Rattus norvegicus: one gene and its partner. The protein of the gene in region 2 interacts with the protein of the main gene of each other region in a biochemical or structural test. Links are inferred from orthologs where the notes say so. Each region holds a gene or a part of one and is shown on either strand. Other genes may lie near its edges.

What was found. The genes of interacting proteins can lie anywhere in the genome.
Region 1: the proteins of Raf1 (region 2) and Bag1 form a complex in vitro, tested with the Homo sapiens proteins (2 studies listed by BioGRID). The link is inferred for Rattus norvegicus from reciprocal best matches to the Homo sapiens genes RAF1 and BAG1.

The regions. Positions count from the first base shown.
Region 1 is NC_086023.1:60,867,012-60,870,656, reverse strand, and holds part of Bag1 (BAG family molecular chaperone regulator 1), read left to right. Parts: intron 1-1,456; coding exon 1,457-1,570; intron 1,571-3,614; coding exon 3,615-3,645. UniProt on the Homo sapiens protein: Co-chaperone for HSP70 and HSC70 chaperone proteins. Acts as a nucleotide-exchange factor (NEF) promoting the release of ADP from the HSP70 and HSC70 proteins thereby triggering client/substrate protein release.
Region 2 is NC_086022.1:150,409,961-150,414,202, forward strand, and holds the start of Raf1 (RAF proto-oncogene serine/threonine-protein kinase), read right to left. Parts: upstream 2,854-4,242; 5' UTR 2,584-2,853; intron 2,340-2,583; exon of another isoform or gene 2,037-2,339; intron 1-2,036. UniProt on the Homo sapiens protein: Serine/threonine-protein kinase that acts as a regulatory link between the membrane-associated Ras GTPases and the MAPK/ERK cascade, and this critical regulatory link functions as a switch determining cell fate decisions including proliferation, differentiation, apoptosis, survival and oncogenic transformation.

The DNA of each region.
Region 1 (3,645 bases), on a different chromosome or scaffold from region 2:
GTAGATTGAAGGTGAGAATGAGCTAACTGGAAGCAATGAGTGTCTCATCTTGGAGCCTCCCGGAGGCTGGGCTTGGGATTAGGCCACAAACAAGAATGGAGAGTTTCGGGGAGCATAACAAAGCAGGAAGCTGCTGGCCCTAGCTGCCGGCGAGAGAAAGAATAATGTTGTAAATGTTTGCTGAAGGGTCAGGCAAACAATACGGGCAGAAGGCAGTACCCATGGTCTCGGTTTGGTGTGCTGTGGTAGTTTCTGTTGGAACTGGTTAGGGTCAGGGAGTCCACAGCTGAGTTCTAGTCCATTCCCCTGATTGGGCATTGGGACCTTAGGTCACTTTACTACATTAAGGCCCAGTGTCATCTATGAAACAGTTCCTGCCTCTTAGGGTTATGGTAAAGCTTAAAAACCAAGTAGCAGAGGTAACATTTTAAGCACAGTACCTGGCATACCAAGAGCATTCAGGAAAAATGTTGTCACTGTTACTATCGTGTTAAATAGGAGAATCCAACTGAAGGGTGACATTTACATTTAAAAGAAGATAGTCGTGAGCCAAACCTGGTGGCACCTGGCTGTAGCTCTACCATAGGGAAGGTAGAGGCAGTTGGGTCAGGAATTCAAGGTCGTCCTCCCATTACACAGTATTCTTGAGGCCACCCTGCACTGTTTGGGAAAAAAAAATGTCATACTGCTGGGCATGGAAGCACACTGTAATCTCAACATTTAGGAAGCTGAGGTAGGAAGAATGAGACTAGGTAGTGGGATCTTGTCTCAAGACAAAACAAAGGACGAGTTGAATTCTGTCTTCCCATTCTGGACACCTTAGCGGTATTCTCTTGAACTTACTTACACTCTACTGTGTTAAAGATGTATTTATCCTATTTCGTGTATTCTAGTATTTTGCCTGCATCTGTGTGACTGCACTATGGGCTTGCCTGATTGATGCCCGTGGTGGCCATAAGAAGGGTAGGATATGCTTGAACTGAAGTTACAAAAGATTGTAAGCCTCTGTGTGGGTGCCAAAAACTGGACCCAGATCCTCTGGAAGAGCAGTGAGTTCTCTGTAGTCCGTGCTTACATTCTGACCTAGCTGTTGGGGTTGGGGTCAGCACAGGGCTGAGGCTGAACCTGACACTTGGATTGGCTCCATTCTCTGAGCATACGTCCTCAGGATTCTCACTACGATGTTCGCTTGACACCTTCCTTCCTTCTTTTTTTTTTTTTTTTTGGTTCTTTTTTTTCTGGAGCTGGGGACCGAACCCAGGGCCTTGCGCTTCCTAGGCAAGCGCTCTACCACTGAGCTAAATCCCCAGCCCCGCCTTCCTTCTTGACGCTCGGCTTTACAGATAGGAATCGTGGTGTCTAACCCTTTGACATGCTTTCCAAGCAAGAAGCACGAGAGGTTGACTCAGTCTTTTTAGGTGAGCAATTACCGACCGAATTTTATCCTTTGTGTTAGAGCAATCCAGAAGAAGAGGCTGAGTTGAAAAAGCTGAAGGACTTGGAGGTATCTGTGGAGAAGACAGCTAACCACCTGGAAGAGTTGAATAAAGAGCTTTCTGACATCCAGCAGGTGACTTCCCTAGTCTAGGGATAGAGCGCTATGGTATTGTTGCCTGGCTGGCTTTTTAAAAACCAGCTTACTTCATTTTTATTATGTATTATGTGTGTGTCTGCGTCTGAGTCTGTGTGGGAGTATGTGCATGTGTCGCTGATGGCCAGGGCCACCAGAGATCTCAGATTCCCCCAGAGCCGGAGTTATCTGAGGTTGTGAGCCTCTGTGTGGATGCTGCGATCAGAACTCAGGTAAGCAGGTAGAGCAGCTCACATTCCTAATCACCGAACTGTCTCTCCAGACCAGTTTGGGGTTTAAATTCTGAAGTTAATGTGGGAGGCTTGCGCAAACGTTTTAAATGTGTATATAGATAGATTCAAACCGAGGCCTTTCACCCCTAAACTGTGCTCTCACTGTGCTTCTTGTGTGCAGGTATGAACGTGTCACCCAGAGATGCCATTACTCTGAAAAGTATTTCTCATCCTATTTAATATGTTGTACAGTTGGTAAATTATTCTTTTACTGATGAAAAATTAACATTTTCCTCTGTCGTTGAAAATAGCCATATTTTACTGCATGTGAATACATCATGATTTACTTAACCTAGTCTCTGTTCTCTGTTTTACCTAATTTTTTCCCTTACATGTGCTGCTGCTTTGCGTGCCCTTGGACACAAGTGTTTTTTGAGTAGTTGTGATTGTTTTGGATAGAATTGAGTTTGGATTTCTGAGTAATGTTTGAACTTCTTGCTGTGTGTTGTCAAATATGCATTTGTCACTCCGGTTCGATAGCCATCTTCAGAAATTCCTGCCTTTCTACTCTGCTGCCAGCTAACAGAGCATTAGGCAAAGAGATGCGAATGAACAGAGGACGGGTAATGACAATAAGTGCTGCTTGAACCAGGTGTGGTTTTGCACACCTGTATCCCAGCTCTCCTCAGATGGAGAGATGGGGATCAGGAGTTCAAGGGCAGCATTGACAATGCGGTGAGTTGGAGACTGGCTTATACTACATGAGATCCTGTCTCAAAGCAAAGCTAAAACAACAGTGTCATTCTCTGTTATCTGTCTACCTGTGCTCCCTCATCTCCGAGAACAGTGAGACATGACAAGATTAAGTAACTCGCTTAAGCTCTTAAGCCAAAGCTGGGGGTATGTTCAGAGTCCCAGCATCATGTAGAATGTAGAAATTGGACTGATGGCACACTGTATAATCCCAGTGCTGGGAGGCAAAGACCGGAGGATTGGATCCCTGCCACTCACTGCCCAAGCAGTCTAGCCAAATTGGGCAAGTTCCAGATTCAGTAAAAGATTCTGTCTCAACAAAAATTAGACAGAGTCTTAGTCAGTGTCCTATTGCTGTAAAGAGACACCACGGCCACAGCAACTCTTAAAAGAAGAAAGCATTTGACTGGGGCTGGCTTACAGTGCAGAGGTCTCGTCTGTTGTCATCATGTCAGGAGGCATGGTGTCATGCAAGCAGACGTGTTGCTGGAGAGGTAGCTGAGAGCTCTACATTTCAATCCACGGGCAGCAGTTAGAGAGAGAGACTGGGCCTGGCTTGAGCTTTTGAAACCACAAAGGCAACCACCAGTGACACACTCCCTCCCACAAGGCTACACCTCCTGATTCTTGTCAAGTAGCACTAATGACTAAGCCTAATGTCTGAGCATCCAAATATATGGGGGTCATTTTTATTCAAACCACCACACAGTGTTTGACAGACACCTCGTGCCAACCTTCGATGCCCCATGCCCAGCATTCCAGTCTATTCTCTTAATGTCTGCTCCGTATGTGCATGTATGCACTCATGTTGAAGGCTGCACCGTAGTTCCTCAGGAGGCATTCAGAGCCCCAGTGGACTGCATGAAAAAGAGCAGTTTGCACCCCGGTAGGATTCTTAGACTGGCCAAGGCTAGCATTTCTAGTTTTCCCAAGGGAAGAAGGTCTGAGATTCAGCCTGGCTTCTTAGGTCGGAGGTGAACTCTGGTTGCTTCACCTGTCTATTGGCATGGTTTCCCAGGAGTCCCAAACACTTGCAATAGTGCCTTATTCCTTCTCAGGGTTTTCTGGCTAAGGAATTACAAGCGGAGG
Region 2 (4,242 bases):
GTGAGTTCAAAGCTAACCTGGTCCACGTAGTGAATTCCAGGTCATCCAAGGACTAAACAGGGAGATCCAGCCAACAGAAGAAAAAAAGAAAGAAAAGAAAGAAAGAAAAACAGAACCCAACATTTCTGATTTTTCAAGAGTGGGAGACCCTGATTTTTTATGGTCTAGTTTCAACTTTAGAAAAATAAAACAACATTTTAAGTTGAAGCCTGATTTGTATGGTTTCATAAACCCTCTCACTGTTATATTTGTTCACTGTCTTTCAGAGACAATATTTAAATTCTGATCTGCAAGTCAACATTGGGGCATGTTGCTAACGGGCAAGCCAAAGCATTCTCTCATGGTTTTAGGTAGCAGGTAGGTAAAGAAGTTTTGTCTGAATTTTAATATTAAATAATCAAACATTCACTAATAGACTTTCTAAAAGAGCAATTTGAAGTTAGTCATTGTATTTCCATTAAAAATACTTAGTGCTTCTGCAAATATCAAATTAACTTCCTAAAACTGTCAAGTAGTTTAATCATCAGAGAAAATTGACTTGAAGCCAAAACCAAGTGGGTTCAGAGCAGCTGTAATGCAGTGTCATTCTTAATTTTTGGATACTTTTTGTCATAAGTGAAAGGTTCTCAGTCTTTTTACTACTGGGCCAAATCCCTTAAAATGCATTCAAAAGCCTTTCAGTCAAGCCTCTACTTCACAGGCATACAAGATCCTTTCAACTACTGACAAGACCTTAACAAAGCTGCCTGATCCCACTTCAGGGCACAATCCCAGCCTTGCAGACCTGAAGATAAGCCTTCGAACAGAAACATCAGCAGGTTTATTTTTCCAAGTATCCAGTCTCAGCTAGGTCAAATGTTGCTGCTGGATTTTAAACAGCTTACTTAGCCCTTGAAGTGATAAGAGTAAAAACAAATCAAAAGAACCTCAGTGTTTTTCAGTGGTTCACAATACCAAAGATTTGGAAACTGCCCCTGATGTCTCTTCACTTCTAAATAGCCACTTCAGCATAAGCCTTAATCAAATTAGCTATTTTATTAGAATAACAAAATAAAATGTTCATGGGGCTGGAGACTTAACAAAGCTGCAACCTGGGAACTCAGTCTAAAGAAAAGTCTACTACATAAATAGGATTCATTAAAAAATACTTTCATGCTACACTTTTCCAGGTGTTTTCTATAATCTGCCGAATTCTATACGTTTGGGGAACGTGTTTTTACGTGGTCAGCAGCGATTTAAAACTCAGGAGTTAGTAAAGAATATGTTTATGACCTCAGTATTTTTGAAGGCAGGTATAACCTTAGAAAAAGCTGCAAGAGTATCTCTGAAGAGGAACCAGTGAAAAAGCACTAAACATTTCCTATCAATTACCAAAACTGGTTAGCTAGACTTAACAAGGTAAATCTTGTTCACTACCATAGCGGGAGGGGAGCAAAGCAGCAACCCGCAAGAACTAAAAATTCACAACATGAAGTTAATTAACAAACGAACTAGTTCACTATCCATCACACAGACCCTTCGCAACTATCAATTTTCCTCTTAGACCCTGCCGTCCGCCTACCTGCACCCCATATTTACTAACTGCTCCCCAAAATCATCCTAACTCCCGCAGGCTACGCCCCTGTGCCTTGGTGCCAGCTGTTTGTTCCCCCGCTGACAATGTCCTCCCCGCTACCTCACCTAGCGAACAGTCCTTCCAAACTCCGCGCAGAAGCAAGCAAGGAACCTCTGGGTTTCTCTATTCTGCACCTAACTGTTCTAAATCCCAAGAACACTTGGGAAAACAAGCCTTATCACCGCGCATTGTTTTCACGCCCCGGGAGCTAAGTCTCCACAGACCCCACAGGACGCAATGCAGGCATCCATACGTGCCCTGAATTCATTCCCCACTTCTATACACAGACCTGCCCCATTCCCCAAGACCCGGTCACGTCTCAACCCGGAAAGAAGAGATCCGACTGTCCCTCCAAACAAAGAATGAAAACCAGAGGCACACCCTGGGCCCTAAAGAGAGAACAATGAATGAACACGGCCACCTCGCCTCCCGTGGTGTCCCAACTCTGCATCCTTCACTGGCTCTGCAGAGCCTAGGAGGCTGTCGCTTCACACAAAAGGCAGTCCAGCTCCCAATCTCGAGCATCCCCGGCCTCCCATTTGGAAGCTCCGGGCGAGGTCCCACGTCTTTGTGACGGGGCACTGACCCGTTTCTCGCTGCCGTCCCTGATTCTTCTCGTCTTCCCTAAAAGGGTGTCACTTAAGCGAAGCAGCCCGAGAGGAGGTGCAAGGCCGGGCTCCCCCCACTTCTGCGGCCCGAGAGAAAAAGAATGAGCCCATCCCAGTGACAACCCAGACACTGGGCAGCTCTAGGAGGATTTTTTTTCCCCATTGCCAAAATATGAGGAATGCTCGCTGGGCACCGGAGTGGCGCTGGCACATTTCCGAGAAACACTGGGAAATCTGAGCAGGGGTGTGGAAACTGGCTCGCCGGCCATGACACCCAGCCCTCGCCCGACCCGCCACCAGGATGACAGCGGCCTGGCGGACCCTGCGCCCCGCGGCCGCACCGTCAGCCCTGCGGCCTACCTGAGGGAGCCGGGCAGCACCGGGTCCCGTAGTGCAGCGACAGCGGTGGTTGAGAGAACGGGTTGCGGTTACATTCGGCGTGTCCCCAGCCCGGGGGACGGGGCCCCAGGAAGGCCCCGCATCGCTGCACTAGCGCCCCGCGCCTCAGGGCACGCGCCCCAAAGCTCGGCCAGCTGGCCCGTCTGAGGGCCTGCGGAGAACGGCAGAGAAGCCTTCCTGCTTCAAGCTCGCTCCGTTCTAACTCCCGCCATCTAAGATGGCGGAACAAGCACCCGCGATGAAGACGCTCTCAGGCTGCGGCGGCGAGCTAGCCCTGCGCTCGACACTCGTCTTGGCGACCTGCGGCGCCGCGGACTCACTGCCTCTGCGCGAGCTCCTGAGCTCGGCTGTCCGCTTAAAACTTGGCTCGGGGATCTATCGCTCGGGCCTGGAATCTGGCCCCGCCTCTGGAGGCGTGGCCCTCGCGGTACTGTGGCCGCCATTTCGGGGCTCAACCTGTGGAGGTACAGTGACTGCTTCTGGTCGGAGGCCAGCGGCAGTGGGCTGCAGCCTCGGTCCGGCCACCCGCGAGGCCCTCCGAGGACCAGACGCGCCAGATGACACACAGCCCAGGGCCCAGCTTTGGTGCTTCCTTCCGAAGTTGACATCCATGGAGAATGGCGGCTTACGGGTTTTGCGGGAAAGCTCTCATACTATATTAAACCTCAGGTTCCACATTTGTATTGCAGATCGAGGGTTCACTGTAGTACACCAGATTGACCAAAAACTAAAAGTATGGTGTTGCACACCTGTAATCCCAGCGCTTGGAAAGTAAAGGCAAGAGGATCAGGAGTTCACAGCCATGCTGAGCTGCATGAGACCCTGTAATACCCAATTTAATAAAGATGGAGAAAAAAATAAAATTGATGCGCCAATATGGCCCACGGAAAACTGAAGCCTGTTGTGAGCCTTCGTACAACCCCAGTGGAATAGACACCTAAAGGACAATGTGACATTGTCAACGTGCTTTTTTTTTTTTTAATCCCTCTTTGAAATAGGTTCTCAATTTTTTTTATCTCTTTGTTTATTTGTGGTTTTTCGAGACAGGGTTTCTTTGTTTAACAGCCCTGTCTGTCCTGGAACTCACTTTGTAAACCAGGCTGACCTCGAACCCAAAGAGATTGGTCTGTTTCTGCCTCCTGAGTGCTGGAATTAAAGATATGTGCCAGATTCCCTCTTAATTGGAGGTTGACCTCAGACTCCCATTCTACCTCTGTGTATTTTCAAAGTAGCCATTTGGTATCTGCAAGGTGACTCAGTAAAAAGTTTGCAGAGTAAAACCTGGTGGTGCCATGATGGAAGAGAGAACAGACTCCTGAAAGTCATCCTCTGACCTTGATTCGAACCCAGTGCTACGTGCTCAACCTGCAAACCGCATTTACAAATACACATACAAGTTTTTTAAGTAACCATTTATAAGTAAACATCTCTTGACATTTAGTACATTTACAGTGTTGTGTAACCACAGCTTTAGTTCCAAAACATTTCCATTACTCTGAAATAAAATTACCTACCAAGCAGTTTCTCACTAGCTTCCTACCCCCAGCAACCGCGAATACTAATTTTGCTACTACAGACTTCTAGATTATCTTGTATGTGTGGATACTTATAAGGTATGGG